Diceros bicornis minor: one gene and its partner. The protein of the gene in region 2 purifies or fractionates together with the protein of the main gene of each other region. This does not show direct contact. Links are inferred from orthologs where the notes say so. Each region holds a gene or a part of one and is shown on either strand. Other genes may lie near its edges. The genes, in order: MAVS and NLRX1.

Region 1 (14,846 bases), on a different chromosome or scaffold from region 2:
CCACGGCAGTATTTCCTGAAACATGTTCCATGGCAATCTGACACTGCAAAGTGCAAATGCGTGCATGGTGCAGAGTTTTGGGGTGACAGGAGAGTCAGGCACTAAGATGGCTTCTCTGAGCCTTTAACTGCTCATGTGCCTTGTGGCTGTCCCAGGGGCACTGAGGCCTGGCCAGGCACCAGTAATATTTGGAACACAGTTGGGAATTATCAGTGCAGAGAGACACCAGCCTGGGAGGTCAGAGGGAATAGCTTTATATTTCCAAGGGGGAGCACTGAGGTCTGGTATGGGGGTCCAGGGCCCTGGCTGATGAAGACCATACTTCCTCTGGGGGCTGAGAAGTTTCAGTGATTCACAGGGAACTAGAGACCCCTTGGGATAGGATAGTGCCTACAGGCTCCCCTGCCAACAGCTGGCCCAGCCCTGTACTCTCCCTCCTGCACTGTCCTCCGGGTCCTGGTGGGTCCCTATAGAGTTCCTTCAGTAGAGTGCAGAGTGCAGAAGCGGCACTAATTCTCTTTCCCTATGTGTATTCATGCCCTTCATGATGTGACTTTGTCAGTCCTCTCATCTAGGGTTGGAGTCTGTTTCCCTATGCCTCGGCTCTGGGCTGACCTTGTGACTTGCTTTGGCCCTCAGAATGAGGCAGGAGGAAGACTGTACCAGTTTTGAGCCTATGCCCCAGGAGCCCCACCCCCTCTCAGAACTCTGCTCAGCTGCCATGAAATGGGCTTGTCTGCTGCAGGATAAGAGACTCATGGAAGAGAACCAAGGTGCCCCAGCCAACAGCCACAAGCAGAGCTTATGTGTACACTGCTCTGTATACAAGGAGGAATTCAGCCAAAATCAGAACTGCCCAGCTGAGCCAGCCCAAATTGCTGACCCACAGAATCAGGAGCTAAATAAATAGTCATATTTTAAGCTACAAAATTTTGGAAGTGTTTGTTACACAGCAAATGCTAACCAATACACCCTCTAATGAATTGGGTTGCTCCCCGGGGTGAACTCCCTTTATTCCCACCCTTGCCTTCTAGGAGTCCAAGGAAGCCAGAGGGGCAACTCTAATCCTTACCTTCACTGGGAGGTCAGAGAGGCCCTATAACTCCAGAGTCCACACATACCTGCTGTGTGGGTACCGTCCAGTTCTGTGTCCTGCTCCTGAGGTCCACTGGAGGTCAGAGGGCTGGGGGCCCCCATGTCAGAGGAGGGCTCCAGGGGGCCACCTGGCCTCCTCAGGACAGCCCCAGAGCTGGGTATCTGTGTGGCTTTCCTTGAACTCTGCAAGAGGGAAAATGTGAACAAGGCAGTTGCTTCTCCCAGGAGCCGGCAAAGGGCAGCTTCTGCTCATGGGGCGGTTCCTACAGGCCTCAGCCCATGCCATGGAGCACATGAACCAAGGAAGCCCCTGCCTCGGCTTACATCATTGCCAGACCTTTTGTCTACAGGTGACCTTGAACCCACCTAGTAGAAAACACACACACCATCCCATGGGGAGTTCCCATCCATCTGTCTGGCCCTATAGAAAGTCTCCCTCTCTGTGGCCACCGCACAAACACCCTTCTTGAGCTTCAAGTCCACAATTTGGTGTCTCCTGGGCACCCCACTGCCCGCTTATCATATCTAAATAGAATTGGTCATCTTTCCCCCAAACTTGACTTTACTGGCAATAACTACAGCTCTACTATCCCCCCCTACCCCAGCACCTCCTGCTTCCTCACTCCCCCTCATCTGGTCATCCCTTGGTCCCTTGACCCAGCTCAACATCTCACATGATCATTGCAAAGACCTCAAAACTGTGACCTCACAGCTGGTTGATGACAGAGGGCTGGGGGCTGCCACAGGGTAAAGCCCTCGTTGGCAGTCTAGGAGCCGGTCTGGGGTAGATCCCTACTAGGGGAGCCCGGAGGTTCTGAGCAGAGATTAGGCATGATTTGTTGGGGGGAAGGGGAGGGCTTCTGGAAGGCTGCGTGAGCAGAAGTGGCAGATAGGAACACAAAAGCAGGGAGCCCAAGGTCGATTGTGAGGACGCACCTCTTCCTGGTACTCCGGCGGCTGGGTGTCCTGGACAGGCATGGGGTAACTTGGCTCCTCCTCTCTGCAGCCATTGGCGGGGGTGCTGGGGGCCACGGTGGGTATGGAGGGCCCTGGAACCTCAGCAGGAACTGACGGTGGCTCCAGTGGGGCTGCAGGGCGGTTCGAGGTCCCTGGAGGACAAATATATAGCAATGTCAAGGAGGACTCAGGGTTGCTCCCAATGACAGGAGAGGCCTGGGTGTTCTTGGACCCACAGGTCCATGGCTATCAGCTCCCCACAGCTCCAAAAGGTGTCTTGATGTGGGATGCATTCCTCAGAGGAGACAAGCTTCACTGAGTGGGAGGGAGAGAGGAATTGGGGAGGACAAGGAGAGGCAGGAGTGGGGCAGGAGCGTGTGGGGCGCCTCATGGGCCAGACTGGGTCAGCAGTCACCACTTCTCTGTCCCCAGGCATTCTGGGACCCAGTGGCTTTCTCCTCCTTGTGGGTGGCTGTCACCACCAACTGACCCCTGACCTGATGCTGCCTCCTCAGCCCCTCCCCTTTACCCCATCCCAGGCCCCCCCCCCCACAAATGAAGAGACACATTAGGAGGAAGGATAGGAGTAGGGAACGGAAAGGAAGGGAAAAAAAGGCAAACGTGCGGATATTCTAAGGCTGTAAATCTGAGCAGGGTCTCAGGAGTTGCCTCTAGTCTGAAATACAAATAAGGCTGGCTTGAGTTTTCTTCCTGTCTTGGCCTCTCAGACCTGATGTCATCAAATCCCCTCTGGGCACTTGGCAGGGAGCATTGAGAAGAAGCTGGGGAGTAACTGGACCGCTGGGGGTGGGCAACCAAGAAGGTTCTAAGGGAAACCAGGGGGAGGCGAAGAGATGTGCGGAAAGGAAGGAAGGAACCCAAGAAGGAGAAAGAGAAGGCAGTGAAGAGAGGGGAGGAGAAGAGAGGAGTGGAGAGAGGGAAGGTGAGCTGAGAGAGAAGAGATGGGAGGAAGTGAGAAAGGGGTCAGTCAGAAAGGAGGCAAACGTCACAGCCACAGAAACTAGAGGAAGCTCCATTTGCTGAGCACATGGGAGGTGCCCAGCGCCAGCTAAGCACTCAACATGCCACCGCCCCATGGTATCCACCGCAGCCCTACGACCTAGATGTTGCCATTAGCCCCATTTTACAGAGGAGAAGACTGAGGCTCAAGAAAATTAAGAGACTTGGCTAAAAGGACACAGCTAATAAGTGGCCTGGGATCTACACCCAGGCTTGTCCACTGCCCAGGAGTGATGGGAGGGAGAGTGACAGAAGTGACAGGGGTAAGGGGACAGGCAGAGCGGAGGCCAGGGGAATCAGAGAGGGGGTTCCAGGAGGAGGGCCGGGGCAGGAGGCTCACGGGGCAGGCTGCTGTGGTAGACCCGGGCCACTTCATCAGCGAGACCAGACAGCTCACAGGCCCTCAGGGCCTCGATGAAGGAATGCACCCAGCCATTCCGCCGCCGAAGGCTGTTGAAGAGCTCCAAGAGGGTGTCCTGGTTCCCCCAGCGCTCATAGGTGGCCCGCAGTCGGTCCTGGAAGACAGGAAGACACACCCCACTGCCCGGCTCAAGCCAGACGGCCCTGCCTCCTTCCCCACTCAGCTTCCCCCACAGCTGCAGAGGGGTGCCCCGGAGAAAGCACGAGAGAGGCAGCCATCTGAAACTGGGTCGCAGTGCAGGACAAGGCCAGGGCTGAGCCTAAGTTTCAAGGTAGCTACCAGGAAACAGGCTCTTACTGTGTCCTAGGCTCTGCGCTCAGGACTTCATGTGAATTATCTTATTTAACGCTATTATTACCCCACTCTACTGAGGAGAAAACTGAGGCTTAGCACATACAAACAACAAGAGAGTAGAAAACATTTACTGCAGAACGAGGGGACAAGGTATCATTACAAACCCCAAAATAGAAGAGGGAGGAGCCAAACCCCATCAGGCACAGACCTGAGCACTACTGGGATCTGCGTGGAGGAAGCAGAGAGCCGTGAGGTTCGATCTGAGAACTGCTAAAACTGAGCGGGGGTCTGGCCCACTTCACTAGGGGCCCACAGCAAGTTCTGAGGCGCTAGCGCAGTCTGGCTCTCATGAACTCTCAAAACGGGGTCCCATAACAAGGAGAATGGAATCAAAACTGAGCAGGAACAAGGACAAGAAAGATGAAGAAAAAGAAGGCTCTGATAAAAGTGGGCCAGGGGACCGGAGCCCGGAAATCTCAGAGAGCCAGCGCCATGTTTTTGAGCACTACACCAAAATGACACCAGAGGGAGCTCAGCGAAGCTGGAAAGGTCACCCTGAACCACACTTCATTCCAAAACTTAGAAAATTGTCAAGGAGAGGGAGAAGGAAGGAGTTGGCCCTGGCTTGGGTAATGCTCTGGAGTCCATAGCCCTGCCTCCAATCAGTGGCTGGCTGTCACGCCCTGGCTCACCTGGTCACTTGCGGTGAGGCAGGACAGGTAAGGCAGAATCTCCAGAACATGGATATTGCGAAAAGTGCTGTGATGGTGGCGGATATACTGAAAAGTCTTGTCCTCGGCAAATGTCATTTCTGTCCAGGTTCTGAAGTGACAGAGGGCTCTGGCCCGTGACGGGTGGATGGACTGCGAGAGAGGAAAAAAGATGAAAGAAAACAGCCCACACATGGCAACGGGGTTGGGCATGGAGTTGGAGAAAAGGCAATTCTTTCTTTCTCAACTCTTGGGAACTTTTGCTTTTGTCTTTAATCATCCTATTTTATGACTGCCTGAGTCCCAGAGGCCCTCTGTGAATTTGCTTACAAACAAATTGAGGAGCCCAAAATAATCAGATCCAGAAGATCCAGGGCCCATTTCTGCCCTGCAGTTTGGTCAGGGTTGGGGAGGGCTCTGGCTTCCCCCGCATCCTCCCCAGGTCTGTGTGTGCCCTAGCCAAAGACAACAAGAGGGCTCCACCTAGAAGGGCTGCTTCTTTGGGGTATACTGGAAGAAAAAGAAGATGACGCCCAACATGATAATAACAGGATCCATCCTAATTTAAAGGTGAATAAAACGAAGTACCAACAAATTAAGGGGGCTTGCTAGTTAGTGGAAGAGCAAAGAACGGAGGTCTTCCAGATCCAGGATCATGTTCTTTGCAGAGCACGACCGCAGGTCCACTCTTAAAGCTTGCTATATACATGTTCTTAGGGCAGGAGGCTGAGTTCCCCTCACTGTGTGAGCCGGGGCAAGTTACCAGTCTTTTCCAGGCTTTTCCTCACCCATAAAATGGCTCAGGGAGCTTGTTTGGACGATACAGTAGTTCAGCCTTACAAGCTTGAAATTTCAAAGTGCCTCGAATACAGGCCATCGCTGCTGCTTGCTTATGTGGCACTTACCACAGTCTGCGATTACAGATGTGTTTGTTTCCTTGTTTCTTATTTGCCTCTCTCACTGGGGAGAGCTGCAGGGAATAAGACAGACAAGACCTCTGCCATCATCCAATTTATATTCTATTGGGGTGGGACAGATAGCAAATCAGTAAACATATACATAAACAAGAATCCCAGATAGTAATCAAGGTCTCCGGCCACGCTGAGGCCGTGTCCCACGTACAGCGACTGGAAGGATGTGCAGCTATGGCATACAACTATCTACTGGGGCTTTGGGGGAAAAAATAAATAAATAAAATTAAAAAAAAAAAAAAAGGTTATAAAGAAACCAAAGCAGGGTAATGAGACAGAGCCCCTGGAGAAGGGCGTGCTGCTTGAACTGGGATGGTCAGGGAAACCTTTCTGCATTGGCAACGTTTGAGCTGAGCTGTTCTTGGCTGTGAGAAGATCGGTGTTTCAGGCAGAGGCCACAGCAAGCGAGAAGTCCTACGGTGGAAATGAACTTGATATGTTTAAAGGTTAGAAAACAGGTCAGTGTGGTGGAGGTCTAGAAAGCTAGGGGGAGGGGTAGACATCAAGGTTAAGGGGTTGGGAGGGGCCACTCACGTAGGGTGTTATAGGAAAGGACTTTGGTTTTATTTGGAGTACAAAAGAAAGCCATTGGAGGGATCTGAGCAGGGAAGGGAGAGGATTTGACTTATGTTAAAGACTTCTCTGGAGGCTGTAAGGACCCTGGACTGTGGAGGGGCCGGATGGAAGCAGGGAGACAAGTCAGGAGGCCAGGGCAGGGGACACACGACAGGTACAGGTACGGCTGAGATGGTAACCATGGCGAGAGGTGGTTGGATTCTTGGCGTTTTGTGGATGTGGAGGTGAGGGAGAGAGAAGAATCAAGGGTGACTCCTCAGGCACTGGGTGGATGGTTGGTCCAAAGAATCTAGCAGAGGAGCAGTGGCACAGAGGGGACTCCAGAGTTCCATTTTGAACAAGTGAAGCTTGAGATGCTATTGGATGCCCCAGTGGGTTTTCAGGAAAGGAAGGGGCGGCAGAGGAGAGAGTGCCAGGCTGGAGTAGAAACATGGGTGTCAGGCTTGGGTGAAACCCCTAGGAGACAGTGCTGCAGAGCAGAGAGTGCCCAAAAGCTGCTGAGGCCACCAATCCCTCACCACATGGGAAATGGGGCAGCAGTCCTGTCTACCAGCATCACAGCCTCACATTGCATGACTCACTTTGCCAACCACCAGGAATGTATCGCAACATCCCTAATGGGGCAACTGCTAATGACAGAGGTCAGGAGGATGGTGGGGGCAGGGGTCCTTTGAGACTTCAGATGAGCAAAGAACAACTCTGTGGTGGCTAATAGACCCTTTTCTCCTTCCCCCCATGGCATCCAGGGAGGTACCAGGAGAGAGTCGAGTGATACATTCTTCTGCATCCTAGCCTCAGCCCGTAAGGCACAGAATTTGGGGGGTATGGGGGTATGATGCGGTCCAACCAAAAAGAAAGGAAGCCCGTAGCTGTTCACATTTATTGAGGGTCCACTATAAGCAGGCACATCCTAAGTTTCTTTCACTTAATCCTTGGCACAATCCCATGAGAGGAGAAGTGATGCCACGTTGCACAGCTGACCAGTGGCCCTGAAAGGACTTGGAACCCAGGACTTGCTGCCTCGTTGAGGCTCACCATACACACTGCAGGGCATAGACGCCCCTGCAGCAAGTATGAGTCACACAGCACCTGGCTTCAAGCCCTGGGAGGGGCCAAGGCCGCTGCCTGGGTGAGGGTGCCCTTCAGAGGATGCAACATTTATTCCTTTCTCTCTCGTGGGAAATGGAAATCTTTCAGGCAGGGCAGGACACTAACCCTGCCCGCCGCGGTTCCAAGGTCGCTGACTGTTCTTCCAGACGTTTTTGAGGCTCCACAGTATCCATACGGAGAAGGTTGTTTTTGTTTTCCAATGTTTTCCTAGCACCGCCGTCGCGTCTCCGAGATGGCTGGCAGAGTGTTTTGGACCGACGCGGCAAGGAGAGTTTCCCACCTGACCGCCCCAGAGGCTCTGAGCGCGCTCCAGAAAGAAATACCCACCCCCGCGGGCGGGGCGAGGCCTCACAACCTCGGCTCCGATTCCTGGATTCCTGGGCCCGACCCAGCTTCGCGGAGGACGGGGAGGCTGTTCTTCCGAGCAGGTGTCACCACCGAGAACTGTCAAGACTCAGAGGAAGGCGGCAGCTCCCGACCCCCAGGCGCGGCCGCGGCCCCAGAGGTTTGCGCACCCCGGCTAGGCCTCGCCCGGGGTCACCCTGGGCCTGCGGGCGGCTGGAGGAGCCCAGCAGCAGACGCCAGTCTCCTGGCCTAACCTCGCTGTATCCGGAGCAGAAGCCTCGCGCCACCCACCTCCCGACCCCGGTACCGGATGCTGCGCGTGGAGCCCTCGCTGCCTCAAGCCCCGTGTGCCTTAGGTCCCACTCTTCCCCAGCCCCTCCCGCCCTGCCCCCTCCCCGGCCCGCGCGCGCCCACACCACGTGCGCCCCGGCGGACTCCAAGTACCCCTCGGCTCCTGCCGCCACGGGCCACCTCCACCTCCCCGAAAGGCGTCCGTGCGCCCTGAGCCCAGAAGACCGAGCGCCCGGGGCGGCCAGCTTACCTCGGGTAGCCACGACCCGGCGACCGACCGCCGCTGACAGCCCGGAACCCTCCCCCACAGGGAGGGAGGGGTCGGGTCGGGGCCGGGCCGCGCGGCCATTGGCCAGGCGGCGGGGGCGGGGCTCGCGGCCCGCGAGAGCCTTGCGGCGCCCGGCGCTCGGCGGTGGTTTGAGAGCCTGGCCTCGCGGGACGGGCGCTCGGGATAGACCTGGGTTCCTGGGGGGGCACGGAGGAGCAGATTATTTTCTTTCCTTGTTTTGTCTCGAGCAACTTCCAGGGGAAGTCCAGGATCTGGCTAGAAACCGAGTGGGCGGCCGATCTCGGAGTCGACGGCCACCTCGGTCTCCGCGCTTCCTACGCGAAGCAACCCCTCCTCCGCGGAGTAGTTTGAGGGAGTGAAGATCTTTATGTCGTTCGCTCCTGGGCGCCCAGGGCCTGGCACACAGTTAGTGCTCAGTAAACCTCGGGTGTCAAGCAAAGTGCACAGGGGCGCGAGTGCCCAGCCAGGCGAGGCACATGCTGGGCCTGAAGAAGCAGGATCGGGGCGGGGTAGGGGTGGGCCGGGTAAGTGGTGCAGGGCAGGGGCGCCAAGGTTGACTCGCCAGTCACGCTGGCTGTGGGCCCGGAGTGCTGTGTGGGAAAGGCCTCTCCACCTAAGGCAAGGGTCTGGGGCCAGTACCTCCCTGCACTGCTTGCCAACAGCCTCACCATTCCTCTGGGGCAGAGGTCAGCAATTACTGAGCGTTCACTATGTTCCAGGTACAGGCTTAAAGTCTTATACCTTATGACCCATTAAATACTCTCACAATAACCAGGTAGAGGTTTATTTTTCCCGTTTTCAAGAGAGGTTAAAAAATTTGGGAAAATGGCAATTCTTACTAAAGTTACATATATGCCAACCCTATCACCCAGCAACCACTCCTGAGTATGTGTCCACCTAGAAACACACACAATAGATAATGTTCATAGTGGCTTTATCTACAACAGGCAAACTCTGGAAACAACCAAATGTCCATCAGCAGGACAATGGAGAAACAAACTGTGGTGTGCTGACACCATGGAATAGCATACAGCAGTGAAAAAGAACAAACTATTGATACACACAACATGGAAGAATCTTACCAGGATGAATGGGCACCATGACTAACCAAGCCAAGCACAAACAGTACCTGCTGTCTGTCCCCAGTTACAAGGTAAGATTCAAACACAGGCAAACCTCATCTACATAAATAGAAATCATTTCACTGGTTACCTCTGGGTGTTGAGGGGTGGGGTAGAAGGGAGCCTTCTAGGGGGATGGAAATGTTCTATATCTTGATGTGAGTGGTGGGTACATGGGCTTGGGCATATATAAAAATGCATCAGCTTACACTTAAAATTGTTACCAAAAAAATTGTTACACTTTATACTGCAACTTAAAAAGGAAGAAAGAAAGACAAATGAGGGGTTAAGAGATTTGGCAGAGATCATGTGCAAATGCCTGAGTACATACCTGTCTCCAAAGCCAGTACTCCCAAACCGAATTGCAGGAAGATGCCTGAACTCTTTTCATGTGAGATTTTATTACTTTACTTGGTAACCCTGTGGCTATTTCACAATGTTCAGCATTTACAAAATATTAATATCACACCTGAACTCAACTAACCATAGGTTAGTTGGCCAGCTCTGTCTTGTTTAGCCAAGACAGGGTGAATGTTGATTGGTTCAAGAATTACTCCTGCCTGCTACCTACCCCAAATCCAGTGACCTCATATCTAATTCTTGCAGGAAGAACATTGGGAGTGTAGCGACTGGCTTCCAAATGCAGTTGTCACCCCTGTCTTTGCTGGAACTCGAAGGGTATTAAAAAAATACAGCATCCTCAAAAACACAATACTTTCTTAGTCCATTTGGGCTGCTCTAACAAAAATACCATAGACCGGATGGCTTAAACAACAAACATCTATTTCTTGGTTCTGAAGGTTGGGAAGTCCAAGATCAAGGTGCCTGCAGATTCCATGTCTGATAAGGACCACTTCCTGGTTCATAGACGCAGTCTTCTCACTGTACCTCATATGGTGGAAGGAGCAGGGGAGCTCTTTCAGGTCTCATTTAAAAAAGCACTAATTCGGGGCCGGCCTGGTGGCGCAAGCGGTTAAGTGCGCGCAATCCGCTGCGGCGGCCCGGGGTTCGCCAGTTTGGATCCTGGGAGCGCACTGACGCACTGCTTGGCAAGCCATACTGTGGCGGCGTCCCATATAAAGTGGAGGAAGATGGGCACAGATGTTAGCCCAGGGCCAGTCTTCCTCAGCAAAAAAAAAAAAAAAAAAAAAAAGGAGGATTGGCAGATGTTAGCACGGGGCTGATCTCCTCACAAAAAAAAATAATAAAATAAAAATAAAATGAAATAAAAAAGCACTAATTCCATTCTTGAGGGCTTCACCCTTATGACCTAATCACCTCCCAAAGACCTCACCTCCAAATACCATCACATTAGGGATTAGGTTTCAATATAGGAATTGCGGGGGTGCATAAACATTCAGTCTATAGCAGATATCAACCAGTAGGATGGCTATTATAAAACAAACAAACAGAAAGTGTTGGCAAGGACATGAAGAAATTGGAACCCTTGTACACTGCTGGTGGGAATGTGAAATGGTGCAGCTGCTGTGGAAAATAGTATGGCGGTTCCTCAAAAAATTAAAAATAGAATTACTATATGATCCAACAATTCCACTTCTGGATACATACCCAAAGAAATGAAAGCAGGGACTCGAACAGATATCTGTACACCCGTCTTCATGGCAGCATTATTCACAACAGCCAAAGGTAGAAGCAACCCAGATGTCTATTGATGAATGAATGGATAAACAAAATGTGGTATATTCATACAATAGAATACATTATTCAGCCTTAAAAAGGAAGGAAATTCTAACAAATGCTATAACATGGATGAACTCTGAAGACATCATGCTAAGTGAAATAAGCCAGTCACAAAAGGACAAATATTGTATGATTCCACTTCTATGAGGTATCTAGAGTAGTCAGATTCATAGAGACAGAAGGTAGAATGCTGGTTGCCAGGAGCTGGGGGCAATGGAGAATGGAGAGTTAGTGTCTACTGGATAGAGAGTTTCAGTTGGGGAAGGTGAAAAACTTCTGGAGATGGATGGTGGGGAAGGATGCACAACAATGTGAATGTACTTAATGCCACAGAACTGTACACTTAAAAATGGTTAAAACAGTAAATTTTATGTATATTTTGCCACAGTAAAAATCCTGGCCTTGGTGATTTCCTGCCACCTTTGTCAGGGAACCAAAGGAGGACACAACATCACATCTATAGTATTCTTCCTAAAACTCACAATTGGAGGCAAATCATGAAGAAACATCTAACAAACCCCAAATGAAGGACATTCAATAGCTGTCCTGTCCAATATAGCAGCCACTTGCCACATGTAGCTATTTTAATTAAAATTAAATAAAATGTAAAATTCAGTTCCTCAGCCTACAAGCCACATTCCAAATGCTATTTTCATGTGGCTAATGGCTGTCATATTGGACAGCACAGATATAGATTTTATAATTTTCTATCATCCCAGAAAGTTCTACTGGACAGTTAAAGTTATATTGGACAGCACTGAACTGCAGAATAACTCTTCAAAAATGTCAAGGCCATGAAAGACAAGGAAAGACTGAGGAACTGTTCCAGATTAAAAGAGAATAAAGAGAGGTGACAACTGAAAGCAACATGGCACCCTGGGTTGGACCTGAAATAGAAAAAGAACATCAGGGGCCGGCCCCGTGGCGTAGCAGTTAAGAGCGCGCACTCCGCTGCTGGTGGCCCAGGGTTCAGATCCCGGACGCGCACCGACGCACCGCTTGTCAAGCCATGCTGTGGCGGCACCCCATATAAAAAAGTAGAGGAAGACGGGCACAGATGTTAGCTCAGGGCCAGTCTTCCTCAGCAAAAAGAGGAGGACTGGCATGGATGTTAGCTCAGGGCTGATCTTCCTCACAAAGAAAAAAGAATAAAGAAAAAGAACAACAGTTGGACAAATGATGAAATCTTACTAAGAGCTTTTGGATTAGTTAATAATTTGTATCAGGGTTAGTTTTCTGGTTTTGATCATTGTACTGTGGTTATATAAGATGTAAACATTTGTATTATTTTTGCAACTGTTTTGTAAGTCTGAAATTATTTCAAGATGAAAATTAAAAAGTAAACTAAAATTTAAAAATCATCTTTTGACCCTTTCTGGCTATTTATATTATTTTATCTTTTATTGTTGATTGCATTCTGCCCTATTTCATGAGTAGAATTCATTGATCATTGTCCATTTACTAGTGAAAGGTGAGTCTAGAAAGTGATCTGTGCCCCAGCACCGCCCCCCCCCCCGGAAGGCCTCGGAACCACCCCACCCCCACCCCGTAAAGCTCATCCGGGGGCAGGTGGCCCATATCCCCAGGCCAGTGCTCTACAGAGGGCTGTGGCTCACATGTAATGACTCAGCAACCACCAGCTCACGTTTCCCCCCAGAGAGTCAAGTCAGGCCCAAAGATAGTGCCAGAGGGCCCCAAAAAGGGACATGTTCTCAGTCTGAGTCCCTTCAGGGAACTCTCCAACATTGAAAAACAAAATATAATCCCTACCTTTACAACCTCATTTCAAATAAGTTTTTAAACTGTTATTCTTTAAATTATTTTATTTTTTCATACTGTCAATTTTTTTTGGGGGGGGGAGGAAGATTAGAGCCTGAGCTAACATCTGTGCCCATCTTCCTCTACATTTTTTATATGTGGGACACCGCCACAGCATGGCTTGATAAGTGGTGCATAGGTCCGCACCTGGGATCCGAACCTGCGTAGCCTGGGCCACCGAAGCAGAGCGCGCGAACTTAACCACTATGCCACTGGGCCGGTCCCCACGCCATCAATTTTATTACAAAAAAGTTATATATGTTCAATAAAGCTGGGGAAAAATTAATATATGCATATATAGTTAATATGGGGAAAAACAGAAATGTTTGATGAAGAAAACCAAAATCTGTACTCATAATGCCACCACCCAAAGGTAACCACTGGTGACACTCTGGTGTCTTTTCTTCTAGTATTTTCTTTTCTATACTACAAGGTATCTGAATCCTGTGGTTTCCTGAGGTCACCCTTGCCTTGATCAGCCACGTGAGATGGGTCAAGCCATGATCTGGGACGTAACAGGGACTGGTATGAGCCCACCTTACCTCTTAGTGGTCTCAGGAGAAGGAGGGGGATCTTGGTCTAGGGCAGCTCCTGGGTCAGGCCCTGCTGCAGCAGGCTTCTCCAGGGCTGTCCAGCCCCTGTGGTCAGCATGGCCTCCTCATTGGCCTCAGAGCATTGTGTTGCTGGTCACCTGCCTCAGGGGCTGCCATCCTGCCCTTCCTTACTGAGAACCACTGACATAGGTGGCTTGGCAGCAGACGTTTACTTGAGGTTTGGGGGTGAAGACAGGGAAATGAGTGCATGAGCAGGGCATGCCTTTAAAGTTAAATATCAGAGTTCCTAAAATTCATGGGCCTCCCCCAATGCAGGAGGCTTCTCCCTGGCCACATCCCTCTGTGGCCTCAGCTTCCTGCCACACTGCTGGTGCCCTGCTTGATTTCAGCCCCTCTTACTATCTCTTGTCCTAGGTCCCCTCCCCCAGGATCTGGAGTTCAGTGCAGAAAAAAGAAACTACCACAGGTGTTTTGTGCATGGAAGGCTTTTGTTTCGTGAAGCATAATTTACATTCAGTGAAATACATCAATCTTAAGTGTGCAACTTGATTAATTTTTATCCAAGTAAATACCTGTGTGACCAGCACCTAGATCAAGATCTAGAATATTTCCATCTCCCGAGAAAGTTCCTTTGTAGTCCTTCTTTATCAATCTCCACCTCCAATCTTTATTCTGATTCCATCATCATAGTTTATTTTGCCTGTTCTTGAATTTAATATAAATGAAATCATATAATACCTACTGTTTTGTGTCTGGCATTTTCCACTCAGCGTGTTTTTGACATCCATCTATGCTGTTGCATATATCAGGAATCTGGGTTTTTTTTTTTCATTGCTGAGCAGGATTCCATTACATGAATATACCACATTTTGTTTATCCATTCTATGTTTAATGGAATATTTGGGGTTTTTCCAGATTTAGGCTATTAGGAATAAAGCTGCTATGAACATTCATATATGTCTTTTTCTGGAGTTATGTACTCATTTAAAAATTGCTGGATGATCAGGTAGTTTAGCTTTATTCGAAGCTTCTAAACAGTTCTCCAAAGTGGTTACACCACTTTACACTCCCACCAGCAGTGTGTTGAGGGTTCCAGGTGCTCCAGTCCAGTCCACTTCTTCACCAACACTTGACATGGTCAGTTTTTTCACAGGAAGGAATTTAATACAGGGAATTAGTTGGTTACAAAATTGTGAGAGGGGCTGGAGGAACAGGAGTCAGGGGGCTGCCACTGGAGTAACTGAGCTCAAGAGCACATCACCATAACCATGGTCAGAAGTGAGGAGGCCACTGCTGCCACCCCCAGCTCCACACGGCTCTGTCTCAACTTCTGGTTGATGCAGGAATGCTGAGTCTAACTGCTGAGACTGGCTCTAGACCCTCACATCTTTGTCTCCTTGCTGTGAGAAGTGACAGCAAGGGCCAGCCTCACCAGGTTAAGTTCGTAGTGGTTAAGTTCGAGAGCTCCACTTTGGTGGCCCAGGGTTCCCAGGTTCGAATCCTGCTTGTGGACCAATGCACTGCTGTGGTGGCATCCCACATACAAAATAGAGGAAGATGGGCACAGATGTTA
Region 2 (15,438 bases):
CAGCACAATGTAGAGGGCAGCCAGGTATTCCTGCATGGCGGGCACAGTGAACACGAAGGTGCCCAGGTGCCCTGGCTCAATACACGGGGCCAGAAAAAACCTCAGGGCATCCCGGCGGAAGACATGCAGCAGCTGAAACTCCTCTTCTGTCTTGATGCCAGCTTCCAGGCAGCCACAGACGTCCTCCTCAGAAAAGTAAGTCTTGCGGGAGGACACCCCCTCATAGGCCAACTTGCCCATGGTTCGGGCTGCATAGGCCATCAGAGACAACTTGGAGGAGTTAGTGCTGTCCAGCATCTCCCCACTGAAGTTCAGACGCAGGAAGCTGGTGTAGATGCTCGTGAGGGTCTGTCCAGCCGGCGTGGGGGCGTGCAGGAAGTGCAAGGTGGCACAGACAAGCCAGCAATAGGAGGGCAGGAAGCAAGCAGCGGCAATCTGGTGGTGCCCCTCCAGGTTCCGGGAGAGCATCTGTACCAGGTTGTCACGCTGAGCCGGCGTGGTGGAGACACCCACATCCCCAGCACCGTGCCCACAGTCTGGCTGGTTGAGGCGGAGCTGGAAGTAGAGCTTCTGCAGGTTGGTATCAGAGAAGCCACAGATCTCGCCATAGCGGCCCACATACTTGCTGGGGATGCGGCCAATGGCAGAGGGCCGGGTGGTGACCAGAATGCTGGCCTGGGAAGAGCACAGCTAAGGGTTAAGAGAGACCTTGGTGTCCTGATTGCTTTACTCCCCAGGGAGCCCCTGAAGATGGAGTGTCCAAGGATGAAGATGATAATGACCATAATCATTAAATTCACAATTACTGAGCACCTACTACGATCCAGGGCACTCTGCTAAGCGCTTTATATGCAGTATCTCATTTCATCAGTACAACTCAAGGAGGGAAGGACACAGAAGCTTGGGGAAGTTAGTGACTTCCTCAAAGACACACAGCTGGGAAGTGGAGGAGCAGGGTTTGAAGTAACCCAGAGCCTATGCGCCTACTCAATTAACACGCATGCCCAGGACACAAAAATCCTTAGGAGGCAAGTGAGGGGCAGCGGTGGCGGGGCAGGGGACCACTTACCTCGGGCAGCATGTATTTGCGCAGTAGGTTGACGATGATGGCAGCTGGCGCCTTTGGCTCCTCAGGGTCACTGCAAAGCCCTGTGCCCGCCAACTGGAAGTCGAGGTTGAGATGCTCCAAGCCATGGAGCACAAAGAGCAGGCGGGACCCGGCGGTGGCCATGAGAGGCAGAATCTCCTTCAGGGGCGTGTAGCGCTGGGCCACAAGATGGCACAAGGAGGCCGGGGCGGGGCCCAGGGATGACAGGTCCTCACAGGAGAAGGGGATGAGCAGCTCGAAGGCTGGCAGCCGCCTGTAACACCAGTCCAGGACCATCTTGCGCACCAGTGTGCTCTTGCCTGTGCCCACTGTCCCGTACAGCACCACTGTCTGCACGCGGCGCCCACAGGCATCTGGGTCAAAGAGCTGAGACAGGGCCAGTGGGGGGAGCCTGGCCGGAGGCGGCTGATGCTCCAGGGCCAGCTCCGCTGGTGGGCGAAGCAGCTCATCAGGGGTGCTCTCACGGATCACAGGGTCTACATGGACTGTGTCTAATGCGAAGGTTGGGCCAAACTGGCGCTCTTCCCTGGGCAGCCGGCTGAACCACTCAGCCAGGTTCTGGCGGTGCTGCTGGATAGCTTCTAGATGGGAAGGCAAGGAGAATGGGTCAGGGAAGGGGCAGGGAGATGCAGAAGCTTAGGACTGGGCAGGGTGGTGGTACGGTCAGACTGCAGAGTCAAGACACAGCACCAGGAGATGCAGGGGCCTAGAATGGTGCTGGGCACACAGGACTCCTTCAGAAAATACAGACTGTCCAGAAAGTTTGGAGCCCCTGTGGCAGAAAGTGGGGAGCCACAGGACGAGTGATGCTGAGCCTGGGCTGACTGGCTGCACGGTTATCTATATGTAATCTTCACCTGACTGCTGGACCCAGTTTGTGGCAAGTTAGGGATGATATATCCTTCCAAGTGCTTTGTACACAGTAAGTGTGCTTTGCACGAATATTGCAGGAAGGGACACATGGACAGATGGATGATGGGGTGAGGGAGGATGGTCCCACTGATGGATGATGGCAGTGGATCCTCTATGCCTCCTTCTTCCTGCCTGCTTCTCCCTCCAGGCCCCTCTCCCCCACCCTCCACTGGGATCCCAGCCAGCCCCTCTCCTCAGGCTCACTGAGGAGCCAGTCCTTTTACCAGCTGCAGAGGCACCCCGGAACAACTGTCCATGCCTCCCTGATGGGGGACCACTGTCCGCTGAGCTTCCGTGATGGCGTATAAAGACCCTAAGAGCAAGGAGAAGGGATGAGCTGGGACTTGGCTACTGGGCTCAGCCTCTGCACAGGCTCAGAGTCCAGGCCTGTCTGGACTGATGGACTTCTAGCTTTCTGAGAGCCAGGCCTGACCCTGGATACTCAAGTCGAGAGCCTTGTCTAACTCTCAGACCCTTCCCTGAGACTGAGGTCTCAACCCTAGCCCTCCAGCTCCCCAATGCTGACTGCCTGCCTGGAGTTCAGGGTGGCCACTGCCAGACCCCACCCACTTCCCACAGGTCCTCCCTCTGGCTAACCACTGTGACTTGTGCTGTAGATGATGTAAGTCAACTGCCTCTTAGGCCTGGTAGCTGGCTCTATACTCTCCCCACCCCCAGAAGACCAACCTCCCCCCCAGGGATCAAGCTCTCTCAAGGTCTGACCCTTCCCAAGCTACTCTGCCGTGCCCAGATGTGTTCTAAGGTATGACACTGAGGCCTCACCTAGGGGGCTCAAGGGGACGCTCCCTTTTAAGGGGCCAACTCCAGTGGATCAGGAAGGAGAAACGTTCATCTACAGAGAGAAAGAAGAAATAGCATCCAGATCCCAACCACATTTCCCCACCAATACACAGACCTCACATCTACATTAAATCCCCCAACATTTACTCATAGCATCATGTACCGCCTCTCTGTAGCAATTATGCAAATTTATACTTCATTGTGTAATTATTTGATTAACATTCATTTCCGTACACTACCCCCCTTCATGAGAGCAGGGATCACATCTGTTTTGGTTCATAATTATATACTCAGAACTTATCACAGGGTCTAGCACATAGCAGGCACTCAGTAAATATTTGTTGCATGCAAAATAAAATCAGACAAGTGTTCCTGGACTTATGTAGCTACAGGGACCCTCAAAGATCATCCAGTCCGACTCCCTTATCCTAGGATGGGAAAAAGGAAGCTCAGGGAGGTGAGGTGATTCGCCCAAGGCCAACAGCCTTGAATCACAGAGCTGGGACTAGCACACCTGGTCTCTGGATCCCTCCTCTCTTGGAGGCACCATCTGGACTCTGAAGAGGAAAGGGAAGTAGAAACAGAAACCCCTGCTTCCTGCTCACCTGCTGCCTGGAATGCTCTACCCAGACCAGGGCCCCAAGAGGCCCTGGGCAAATGGCGGCCCCACCTCATGGTGGGAAAGAAGGTCAGAGCCCAGGGGATTTAGCACACCATCTTCTATCCTGTTCCCCTGCAAGAAGAATGGTATGAACGGACCACACACACCCCGACCTTCCCACTCCCACCTCCCCGTGCAGGCCTTCCTCCTCAGGAGAGCGTCAGCCTTTCCTTAAATGCCAGCATTGCCAAAGCCCTGGCCTGGCCTCCAGATCTCCTCCCTCTCCCACATCCCCCACCTGAATAATCCCATTTTATCTCCTACCACCTATTGCCTCTCCCCTGAGTTCCAGTCTAGTGAACTGCTTTATTTAGATGTCCTTTTTTTGCTTGGCTGCCAGCAAACTCAGGTGAGTCCTGTGTTCATTTTCAGTGGCTTTTCTGAGCCAACATTTTCCAGTAACAATTATTCACTTCCCTCTGCATTTTTTTCCCTCGCTATCAGGTCCTTTTAGCTGAGTTTCAGTGTTTTTATCATTTTATCTTCTCTGTGACTTTTATATAAGCTGCCTTTGAGGCTGGCATAAACAATAAATAAATGAATGAATGAACTTCCTACTTGACATCTCCATATGGACATCCGGCCCCGGTGCTTCAAGCTTCACGCATGCAGGACTGAACTCATCATTCCCCTCCCCTTTTATTTACTTTACTGCAGATCTTTCCAATCACACAATTAATACTAGAACTTTGACCTCTTAGTCTTTAAATCCTCCCGCCTTCAGACAGTGGAACCAATCCTACTGCTTCCTCCTCCCAGTGCTTTGCCAGCCTGTTCCTATTGCATCAGACCCTCTGGGACTTCCGGGACCCCCTTCTCCTTACTGGCCTCTGCCTTCAGTCTCATCCCATTCCAATCCCTTATCCCAGCCACCAGTGGCCTCCCTAAAATCTTGGGTTACTATAGAGTCCAAACACCTGGCCCTCACAAGCTATTTTTCGAGTTTGCCCACGACCGGCACCTCATTCGCCAGGCTCACTGAATTTTTGCTTGCACTTTCCTAACTTTGTTCATGCACGTTCTTCAGTTTGGAATGACTTTTCTCTCCTGTCAGAATGCTACCCAATCTTTTAAGACCCTGCTCAAAGGTTCTCTCTCCTGGGAAGTCTTTCCTGATCTCTCTGAGCTCCCTTAAATGGAGTGTGCTACTGTTTGGCACCTGGTCTCCACTGAGATGTGGCTCCTTAAGGGGAGGGCACACTTAAGGAGAACCAGCTGCATTGGGCCCACCTGCCAGCAGTGGAGGGGCAGTCTGGGGCTGAGAGCAGGAGACCCAGGGGCTGGAGAAGGCTTAAGAGAGGGCCCTGGAAAGCTAAGAAAGCTTGAGGAAACTAGCTCCGCGGGATAACATCAGATCCAGGGCTACCAGGGCTACCGACTCAAGATGGGACTTGCGAGGGGGTGGGGGGTCGGGGGTGGTGAGGGCCATTCTCCGAAAATCACCCCAGGTCTCCAGGGCAGTGAGAAAGGGAGGGGCAAAGCAGGAAAGGTATGGGGGCTGTGGTCCCGCGGGTCCAGAGCTCCATCCCCCAAACTGGGTCCCAAACAGCTCTCCTAGTTCCGCTTGGCTTCAAAGCCCAAGGGGAGAGCCGGCCAGAATGCCCACCACGCAGCGCACGGCTCCGTCCTACCCGTCCCGCCGCGAACCCCCAGGGGCGCTTGCCCAGCACCCCCCGCCCCGCCCCCGCCCCCACCAAGCGCAGCGGCCCAGCCTGGAGCGAGGGGCGACAGAGCCAGCTAGGCCTTTACCCGCGGCTGCCGGGGCCCGGGAGCCCGTCGCCCGTCGCCCGTCGCCCGCCGGCGTCTCTCGCTTGCTCCCAGAGGCCCCGGCGCGGCGCGGCGCGGCGCGGCGCTTCCTGCGCGTCTCTGTCCGCCTGGCATCAAGCCCCGGCAGCGGGCACCGAGAGGAGGAGCCCAGGCGCGCGCGGCCTGCGGGGGTCCTGGGAGGAACGGACAGCGAGAGGGGCCGGGTGCCCCGGGAAGTAGGCCCGGGGCGGGGACTTCCCCACCCGCCCCTCCAGCGCCCCTGCCCTCCGCGGGTACAGCCCTCCATCCGGGCGGGCCCTGCCGCTAGGACTGCCCTCTGCAGGCTGCCAAGCGCCAGGCCCATCCGGTTACCTCACTACCACCTCCTAGGCAGGGCTCGCTGTGGTGTCCGTGTTACACATGATGGGACTGCAGCTCAGAAGGGTGAAATGACTTGCGCAGGTTGACCCAATCAGGAACTGGAAGAGCCAGAACAAGAATCCGGGGCCTAGGTCTTCCTTCCTCCTTCCCGGGCCTTCCTGAGGCACCCATGCGCCCCCAGGGCATTCTTCCCTCCGTGCCTCTTCACCTCCTCAGCCTACTTCTCGGCAAAGATCTGAGTCAAGGCCTTCTTGGGTCCTCCCCTGTGTACCTGACTCTCTTCAGACCCCAGACCTCTGTGTATGGCTTCTGGTGGCTTTGGTCAAGGAATAAGGAAGACTAGGGGCTGAGGGACAGCTCCCACCCAAACCTGCTCTTCTTGTCTGACACCCAATCATGGCCTCGCCCTGGGGCTTCCTGGTCCTCGAAGCCCCCACCCTCATCTCTGTGCCTCCGTACGGGGCACACGCAGGGCCCATGTAGCTGATGGAGGAGCCACCCACCACCCACAGCCAGGGCACGCCTCCACATGCAAACATACGTTTGCAATGTGCACTGAACCGAGGTGTGCAATAGGGAACTCGTAGAGAGGCACCTCAGGGCAGGGCTGGAAGGAGGGCTTGGAAGATCTCTGCCCTCCATCCAGACTGAAGACAGTGTTGATATTTCATTTGTTCATTCACTGAACACATGGTATTGGGCTAGTGCTGAGCAACCAGAAGAAGGCATGCAGGGGCCAGACCATAGCAGCTCCCTCCAGGGAGCACAAGCGATGGTACTTTGGAGGCTGCCGGAAACCTCAGGAAAGGCTGGGAGAGGAAGTTACTAACTGCCTCTGGTAAAGGAGATGACATTTGAACTGGATCTTGAAAAATAAGTCAGGGAAGGGAGAGCATTCCAGGCGGCAGAGAAATGGCACGTTTTCGTTTTAAGAGAAGTTCTAAAAGGGAAGTAGAATGGGATGAGCGGAGGGGAGATAGAGCAACGCTACGAATGTGGTCTCGGGGTGACATTTCAAGGCTGGGGGACTCCTCTAGCTACACTCTACTTGCTTAGCCATGTGAGGCAGACAGGCCCCTGGCTGCAGTTACTGGAAACAGCTCAGAGCAAGTCGTTCCCCTCCCCCGCACTTCCAGCAGGTGTGACAGCCATTGTAGGTTTTATTAATAACATATAATTTGACTGGCCTCTTGCAGACAGAAGGACTGTGAGTCATGCTGTGGGCCTCTGGATGGGCCGCCCGTGCTGTAGAGCCATAGGTGCTGTAGAGCCATAGCATGGAGAACTGCCTTAGTCATCTCTGCCCTCCAGCACCTTGCACAGGCCCTGACACAGAAGGTGGTTGAGTTGAAGATGATGATCTCTGAGTCCAGGAAGGTCGGCATTCAGGGAGAGTGGGCCCCTTTCAAAACATGCTTGGATGGGCAGAGTGCATTTATGCCCCACCTCCACAGGTTACTGGGACTGACGGGAGAAATCACAGGTGGTTCACAGTGGAAGATACTGTGCAACAGCACAGTATCTTGAGAGCTTGCTCAAGACGTTTCTCCAAGCCTCAGTTTCCTTGTATGTAAAAGGAGGAAATGATAATTCTCATCCTAGCAGCCTCATGGGGTTGCTGTAAGAATCAAAAGAGCTTTCTTCACAGATACTTAAGCCGCTCTACAAATGTTCTCTGTGCCTGAATGGCCCTTGCTGGCTCCGGAATGGCTGTTTGTCTCCTTTAGCTCTCAAGGGAACTTACAAATGTGTGAATTTATAAGTGTTTTACTCTTTCAGGAGTATTTGCATTTTAAAGGAGAAAGAGTAAAGATGAAGAATCTTAACAAAGACTGTCTAATGATGGGATTTTGTGCCCTCTGACTTTAAGGAGCCATCTACTGGCCTCATTCCAGGGAGAAGGTAGCACTCAGAATGTCCCCTAAAGCTAACTAGAATTCCAGAAGCTAGGACTCGGACTTTCTCCCACTTCCCACTCCCACCCACAACCTCCACAAGGAACAAAGTTAGCCTATCTCCAGGCAAGCACCCAACCAGTCATAGATTGGACGCTCATCCAGCCTGGAGCACTTAGCTCTGCATGTGGCACAACTAGGGTGTTCCAGGCAGCTGGCAGATTGATGCCAGTCCCTTCCTTGAGTCCTCAAGCTTCAGAATCAGGAGGGAAGAGGGAGAGACAATGTGCTGCTTCTTGGGTCATCTTGCCACCAGCCCTCAAGTCCTTCTGGACAATTGTCTACTCCAAACCTCAGGCCACCAGACCCATCTGCAGACCTGGTGGCTGATAGCTGGGCCCTGGTAAGTGTGGCCCAGTGGGAAAGAAGAGAGGAAGAAAAGGGAAAGCTGCGGTGAGCCCAGTGAGGTCCTTGCCACTCTCGTCCTAGGACTTAGCTTCCAGGGTCTTTCCTGCTTCTCACTGCCCTTCATGACCACAAACCTCCCCCCCTCCATAGGCACAACTGGGGCTCAGTGAGTTCTGAAGAGAGAGTCATGCATCACTCAGGCAAGAACATACTCTTGCAGCAGACACAGGGCACCCATATGCAGCTTGCAGATTCACCATGAGCAACATCTCTGGCCAACACCGAGAACAAGGAGTCTGGAGGCGGAAGACCTGGTTCCCAGGCCTGGTTCCACCTCTGTCAGCTGAAGGTTCTTGGGCAAGTTACTTAACCCAAGCCTCAGTTCTCTCATCTGCAAAATGTGTTGTCATGAGGGATAACACAGGGTCAGCATTAGAGTCCCTTGAGGTAATGAACATGAAGTATCTGTAAGATGTAAAGCATGATACCGATATTTCATGAGATACACATTCACTAGCCTGACGTGTACCTAGAACTTACCGTCCCCTGCCACAGGCTCCCTAAAGCTCACAGATTTTTTTTTTTTTTTTTTTTTTTGGTGAGGGAGATTCGCCCTGAGCTAACATCTATTGCCAATCTTCCTCTTTTTGCTGAGGAAGATTGGCCCTGAGCCAACATCTCACAGACATCTTGCCAAGCACTTTGAAGACCCCTCACAGCCCATGGTACCAGGTGCCAGACCCACATACATTTACACACTGCATACTGTATAAATATAGGTTTTATTAATAATGGGTGAAATCCCACAAATACAACTGGCATCTCTGCATCATGGGGGGAATCCAAGGCAGGGTGCGGGATGGTAGGGAGGTATGTGCCCAGGAACAAGGGAGAAAGAGCCTGGGGGGGTAGGGAACTCAGAAATAGAATGAGCTTGGACCCACCAGGAAAGCCAGACATGCTCTAGGTGTGTCTGTCACCCTGGTACCCAGGGCATGCTGCTCTGATGCCCAAGGGCCACCCTGGTTGATGGGAAGCGGGTGGTGAGACACGGACAGGAGTTTGACTGAGCAGCAAGCAGCTGGGGACGGAGTGGGGAGTAAGAATGCCAGCTGGATGCACAAAAGAAGGTCCATGGGGTGGCAGTGGCCAAGGCCAACTTATGCCCGTGCTTGTGCTTGTGTTGGGTCCTGAACTCCATGGAGCTAGTGCTCTGTGCCACCCCTGGCTTGGGAGGGAGGGAAGACTGGGGGGTAGACACCTGCAGATCCTGGAGACACCCTGGGCTGCACCAGCCTCATCCTTAGAGTCAAAACGGGATCCCCAGGAGGAGGTTGGCACTGCCCTCCCTGCAGCACCCACCACCAGCATGCCACCATCACTCTTCCTCTGAGCCATAGGGGACGGTGAGTGTGTGTAGGGCTGAGATTGCCTCTTCCCATGTATGTGCCTGTAACTCTGGAGAAGGGAGGGAGCGTTGCAGGACCATGCCACAGGAGCAGAGAAAGGAGGCTTGGGTCTTCTCCCACTCATGCCCCAGAATAAAGTGCTTTCTCCAGTTCCAGTGGCAGGTGAGAGAGAAACACAGACATTATTGCAGAGGCGCCACCAGGCCCTGCCCCCACCAAGGGTGATGGGACAGGAGATGTGGCATCCCATGGCCCCAGGCCTCTCCAATCCCCAGGATTGGGAGGGATGACCCAGACAGAAAACCCAGCTTCTGTCCCAGCAGATTGTCCGAATCAACGAGGGTCTGGGGGTGGGGAGAAGGTGAGGAGGAGGAAGAGACTTCCAGAGTCCTTCCCTGCTCCATTCCAGCATCCAAATGGGACTTCCATGGGACTCCACCAGGGCCCAGCCCTGGAACCCCAACCTTAGAACACCCCAGTTTACAAACACTTGTGTGGTGGGGACCCCCAGAGGGGCCACTTTGGTCAGTTGTAAGTAGGGGCCTGGAGAGCCTGGAGCTCCCAGGCAGACAACAGAGGAGGGTGCGGACGGCTGGAAGGAGGGTGGCAGCCTCCTAGTGGTCTTTGCATGCAGATGTTGGAGAGAGTGGGGAGGAAGCTACAAACTGCATCGACTTGGGAAGACTCTTGGGCATGGCAGGGAGGGCTGGAGCCCCTGCTCCCGGGGCCAAGGCTGGGAGCACAGTCCGCAGTTCACAGCCAGCCTGTGAAGGAGCCGAGAGAGGGGAGGGCAGCTGCGCCAGCAACCAGTGCCCGAGTCTACAAGGTTAAAACAGTCCCAGAGGGCTGGGGCTGGGGGCTTCCTGCTGCAGGGGCTGGGGCGCAGGCCAGGGCAAGGCTCTATCTCTCCGACTTGACCCGGTAACGGAGCACGAGGTATGCCAGTAGCCGCAGGGCCAGGAAGAAGATGCCCAAGACCAGGAAGTCCATGTAGAGCTTGGCATCCTCCACATCCAGTGCTCGCAGGATACTCTGTGGCTCCCGGAATGGGCAGTGTTCCTCCAAGCAGGTCAGGTCTCCTCGCTCCATGCCATAGATGGTCAGAATCACACCCTCAAAACCATACCTAGGCAAAGAGGGGCATCAGGGCAGGATACAGAGCATAGGGTCACTGCTCCCTGGGCAAATGCCAGAGCCCAGCTGCAAGTCTCTCATCCCTGGGGGCATGGCCTCCTGCAGGGAGGATTAGGAGCAGATGGTGAGGGAAGGAGCACTGACCTGACGTAGGAGAGGTAAGAGCTCCACTGCAGGTAAGTGGGGATGGTCTTGAAGCTGACAAAGAAACCAGAGAACAGGAGGACAGGGATGGCGGTAACTGGGCCCACAAAAGTGGCCACCTGGAGGGGAGAGAAGTGGATCAAGCTGTCACAGGAGTGACCTGACAGACATAGGACTGGGGAGCCCAGGGTTTTCCTCGGGGCCATCCCACTCTTTGTGCCAGCCCCTGCTTCCTCCCACCAGACCCCTCTCAGGGGTCCCCACCTGCCAGCCCTCCCACCTGTAGGGAGTTGGAAGCAGCTCCGATCAGCAGCCCCAAAGACTGTGCCACCAAGGCTGTGGCGGTAGCCAGGGCTGAGAAGAGCAGGAAGCGGCTGCTCTCAGCTGGCTGGCCTGTCATCCAGTACACGATGCTGCAGTACACCACCGGGCACACCACCTGGGGAGGGGCACAGGGCTGGGCAGCAGACTGTGAGCTAGAGGCATGGTGGCCAAGACTCTCCACTCCGCCCAGGCAGGACCTCTAGAACAGCTATTCCTAGAGTGTCCACGCCTAGTCTTGCCTCCACGCTCTGGTTCATGCTGTCCTCCTAGGTTGACACATGTCCCCTTCCTCCCTCGCTATATGAACCTCATTCATCTTCCAGTCTCACTTCTTCCATTAGGCCCATACTGACCAGTTCAGGCATGGTGACTTCTCTGTCCTCTGAGCTTCTAAATCCTTCTCATCTGGACCAGCTTATTCCTTATACAGTTAATTAACTAATCTACATATGAGAGCGTTTTGTCCCCCTCTGAGCTATCAAAACCTGGAGAGCAGGGACCGAGCCCACTGTGTGCAGTCATGCAAGTTGTTCCCTGCACAAGGGCACCCAACCAAGAGGCGACCAGAGGCCAAGGCCCAGCAGTGCTCTTCTCACTAAGCCATGCCCCCTTGTACAGTGCCGCGTCCACCCTGAGGAAGGGGCACCTTTTTCTAATTTGCACAATGGTGCCCTATGGATTATTGGTGGCCCTCATGCTTGGAACGGGGAGGTGGTGGCAACAACAACAACAAAAAACAGCTAACATTTATTTATGTGCCAAGTACTTTACATGTATTAACTCATTTAATCTCCCAAACAACCCCAAGGTAGATAATATCATCATTCCATTTTATAGATGGGGACACTGAAGCAGAGGGAGATTGGGTGACTTGCCCAACGTCTTGCAGCTAACAAGCACAGTGAGGCTCCAGAGCTGACACTATCCGCTACTGCCTTGAATAAGATTTAGAGAGTCATTTGTAGGGTTATTATTTTCATTATTTCTGTTTGGTTTGTCGTCAGTTCCTAGATGTCAAACCAGTTCACTAGACCATAAGTTCCACAAAGTCAAGACGATGTCCATCTTGTTCACTGCTGTATTCCTAGTGCCTGGCTCAGAGCCTGGTGCACAGTAGGTACTTACTACCTATTTGCTAAGTGAGTGGAAGTAATGGAAAGGATGGCAGGGGACAAGGTTGAGGGAGGCAAGCAAGCAAGGATGGAAGGAGCAGGACAAGAGGGAGGCATTGGGCAGGTGGGAGGAAGAGACTCACCTGAAAGGGCACATCAGCCATGGTCTTGGCCAGGTAATATGCTTTGAGACTGTACCAGTAATTGAGATGCTCCCTCATGAAGACTGCCATCTCTAAGGGGACTGAGGACACAGGCAAATTAGGCACAGCTGGCTGACACCCCAGGTCCCAGAACCCATGCCCCACGCCCCACGCCCAGGGCAGCTCAGCTCACAGGTGAGCACAGTTGGCATAAGGGCAGCAAACATGAGGAACAACATGGAGAAGAAGAGGCAGCCAGTGTTGTTGAAGACCTTGCTGGCATCGTCACCGATGTGTAGGTAGAGAAGACCAATGAGCACGCCGATCAGCACATGGGACATGAACCGTAGGTGGGTCAGGACCTGTGCGAGGGGGTCACCACGAGGAGAGGGGAGGGGTCAAAGGCCACGGATGGGCAGGGCACACTGGGGTAGGAACTCGGAGCTGCCCTCACAGGCACATAAACCCACAGGTGCATTGGTGCGGCTGCTGGGGGAAGGACCCCATCCCCATCCCAGCTGCTGGGATCCTATGTCCCAAAAAGCCAGGCCTATGCCAGCCTCCTCTCCCCCAACTTGATGCCTCACCGTGTCCCTGAGGATGGACAAGAAGGTCCTCTTGAAGAGGATGCAGAACTGTGTGAGGGTGCTGGTGGCAAAGGTGTGGCTTTCGATGGGATCCACTTCCTGGGGAGAGGAAATTGGATCAAGTGAGCCTACCCCACCCATCCACTGTGCACCCAGTTCAGTGAGTGGGAAAACTCCTGAGCCCTTCCCCAGGGCAGGGGTCCTTCAGGTCTACTGAAGGAGAATTCTCCACCCTTGAGTTGTGTACCTAGAAGCTAGCCTTAGGGGAGCGAATCAGAGCAAGATTCGGAGAGAGACACAAGAAGGGGTAAAAACTTCAGAGGGAGGAGATGGAAAGGGAGTCAAGGACACCTGTGGGGGCTACTAGGAGATCAGTCACTTCTCCTCTTTAATCTATAGAAAAGCATTTATCCTAAGGGTATAATACCTGTATGCCACCAGTTTCACAATAATATTATTGAACAATGATAATAATGATGACAACAACAGCAATAACTAACTCTTCCAGTTTTCAAGGGCTATAGTATCTCATTTAAGGAAGAGAGCTGGCACTGATCTGTACCAGCTACACTGCGAAGAGCCTTAAGTGATGATCTAATTAGTCCTGCCAATAACCCTGTGAGGAAGTCTCACCACCTCCAGGGTAGAGATCACAGTAAGCCACAATGGCCTCGAGCCCAGAGACAACATCTGTCTTGCTTACCAATGGCACTGCCGGCACTGAGGACAACACACTACAGATGCTCGGTAAGAATTTCCTGAACAAATAAATGAACAAGAGAGCCGAAGCTCAAAGAGGTTACATAACATGCCCAAGGCCACACAGCTGTTAATAGTAGATCTAGTCCAAGTCCTGGGTTCTTCCTAGTACCCAGTGGTTGTGACGCCTCTGGGGGACAGCCTCTTCGGCAGGGCCATGGTCCTGTCTCCCCTCCCTCGTTTTCCACTCTCTGCCCTCTCCTCCCCTACTCACCGGAGGGCAAGGAGGGCAGGGGGCAGGGACCTCGTTCTTCTCGGGGCTGCTCTTCTTCTCAGCCATGGCACACAGCCCATTCTGCACAGCCCTGAACAGCATGGGGTTCAGGTCTCCATACTCTCCAGAGGCCACCTCAATGACTGGAGGGCACAAAGAGGAGTGGTCAGCTAAGATCTATCCTTGGTGCCCAAGGCAAGCCAGCCCCTTCTTGGGTGTGTGGGGAAGGCAGGTAACAGTGAGATCTCTGCCCCCAGGAGCCCTGAGTACATGACCCAAGCCCCCAGGTTTGACCCACCACCATATCCCAGCCCCTACCAACAGGGCCCCACTCACTGAAGTCAGCTGGGTTGTGGTAGGTAGGGCAGTGCAAGCCGAGCCCCTTCAGATAGGGGATCAGGTTGGTGACCACACCCTTGAAGATGCATTGACCCTGGCTCAGGATGTAGAGCTGAGGAAAGAGAAGGGTGAGGAAAACAGGACCAGTGGACCAGGCAGGTCCCACCAGGACCTCTCCTGACCCCCTTCCCTGTCCCCATTACAGGCCAGTCATCACTGAGGTCCAGAGACACTCACCTTGTCAAACATCTCAAAGAGCTTGGCACTGGGCTGGTGGATGGTGCAGATGATGGTACGGCCCCCCTGGGCCAGGGACTTCATGAGAGACACCACTTGGAAACAGGAGGCACTGTCCAGACCACTGTCCAGAGAGAAGCCACCATGGGGGTGGGGTGAGGTAGGTGGAACAGCTGCTATGAAGGGGATGGAGCTGGCAGGAAGGGGGTCACTCTGGCCACCCCTACCTCCTGTCCACACTGTATGATTCAGGACTTGGAGGTACTAAGAAGCCCAGAGCACCATTCGGTCTAACAAGCATATATTGAGCACCTGTTGAATGCCTGGGATTACAATGATGAATAAGTAAGACATAGACTCTGGTCTGGAGGGAGAGAAAAATAGGCACACAGATCATTTGAGATAATGTGGAACATGCTATAGAAACATGGGGTGAAAAAGAGGGGGAGGATTCAGCTCTGAAGTACAAGGTTGTTGAAGGGTAATCAGAGAAGATTCCTAAGTGAGTCTGGAAGAAGAAAGAGCTAAGCCAGGTGAAGGTGGAAAGGCAGGTGTGGTGGTGAAGGGCATTCCAGGCAGAAGACACAGCATGTGCAAAGCTTAGAGGCATGAAACACATGGCTTGACTAAGGAATTATAAGCCATTCACTATTATCAGAGCGTAAAATACAAGACAGCATGAAGCAAGATGTGAGGCTGGAGAAGTAGGTTCCGACCAGGACCTTGTGAGTCCTCTGACTTTACTCTGAGGGCATATGGGAATCAGTGCATGTTTTTAAGCAGGGGAGCAAGTATTGCCAGACTTGTCTTTCAGAAAGTTCACTTGGGCTGCAATTTGGAGGAAGGATTGGCTGGGAGAGACTGGAGACAAGGAGAGAGGAGTCTGTTGCAGAAATGCAGGCAAGAGTTGATGATGTCCTGAACTTAGGCCCTGGCACCAGGGATGAGGGTGGGGCGAATCTGAGAGATCAAAAAAGGAGATAGAATCAGCAGGACTTGGTGACTGATTGGCTGTAGGGGAGGAGGAGAGGGAGGCATCCATCACAGAGGAGGACATGGGGATTTCTGCCTGGGTGAAGGATGGGGCTGCTACACTAACAGGATTGGCAGGGATAGAGACGAGG

What was found.
Region 1: the proteins of NLRX1 (region 2) and MAVS purify together in Homo sapiens (affinity purification with western blotting; 4 studies listed by BioGRID and IntAct, with this or other methods). This does not show direct contact. The link is inferred for Diceros bicornis minor from reciprocal best matches to the Homo sapiens genes NLRX1 and MAVS.

The regions. Positions count from the first base shown.
Region 1 is NC_080758.1:32,222,921-32,237,766, reverse strand, and holds the start of MAVS (mitochondrial antiviral-signaling protein), read right to left. Parts: upstream 8,080-14,846; 5' UTR 8,041-8,079; intron 7,811-8,040; exon of another isoform or gene 5,403-7,810; intron 4,651-5,402; 5' UTR 4,597-4,650; coding exon 4,480-4,596; intron 3,588-4,479; coding exon 3,413-3,587; intron 2,205-3,412; coding exon 2,032-2,204; intron 1,279-2,031; coding exon 1,122-1,278; intron 1-1,121.
Region 2 is NC_080746.1:17,831,611-17,847,048, forward strand, and holds the start of NLRX1 (NLR family member X1), read right to left. Parts: upstream 5,968-15,438; 5' UTR 5,818-5,967; intron 5,708-5,817; 5' UTR 5,601-5,707; intron 5,269-5,600; exon of another isoform or gene 5,232-5,268; intron 3,555-5,231; 5' UTR 3,497-3,554; coding exon 3,427-3,496; intron 2,874-3,426; coding exon 2,804-2,873; intron 2,334-2,803; coding exon 2,245-2,333; intron 1,690-2,244; coding exon 1,070-1,689; intron 676-1,069; coding exon 1-675. Other genes in the region: ABCG4 (ATP-binding cassette sub-family G member 4), read right to left, coding at 10,222-10,447, 10,600-10,718, 10,880-11,038, 12,179-12,279, 12,372-12,540, 12,766-12,864, 13,739-13,881, 14,075-14,189 and 1 more.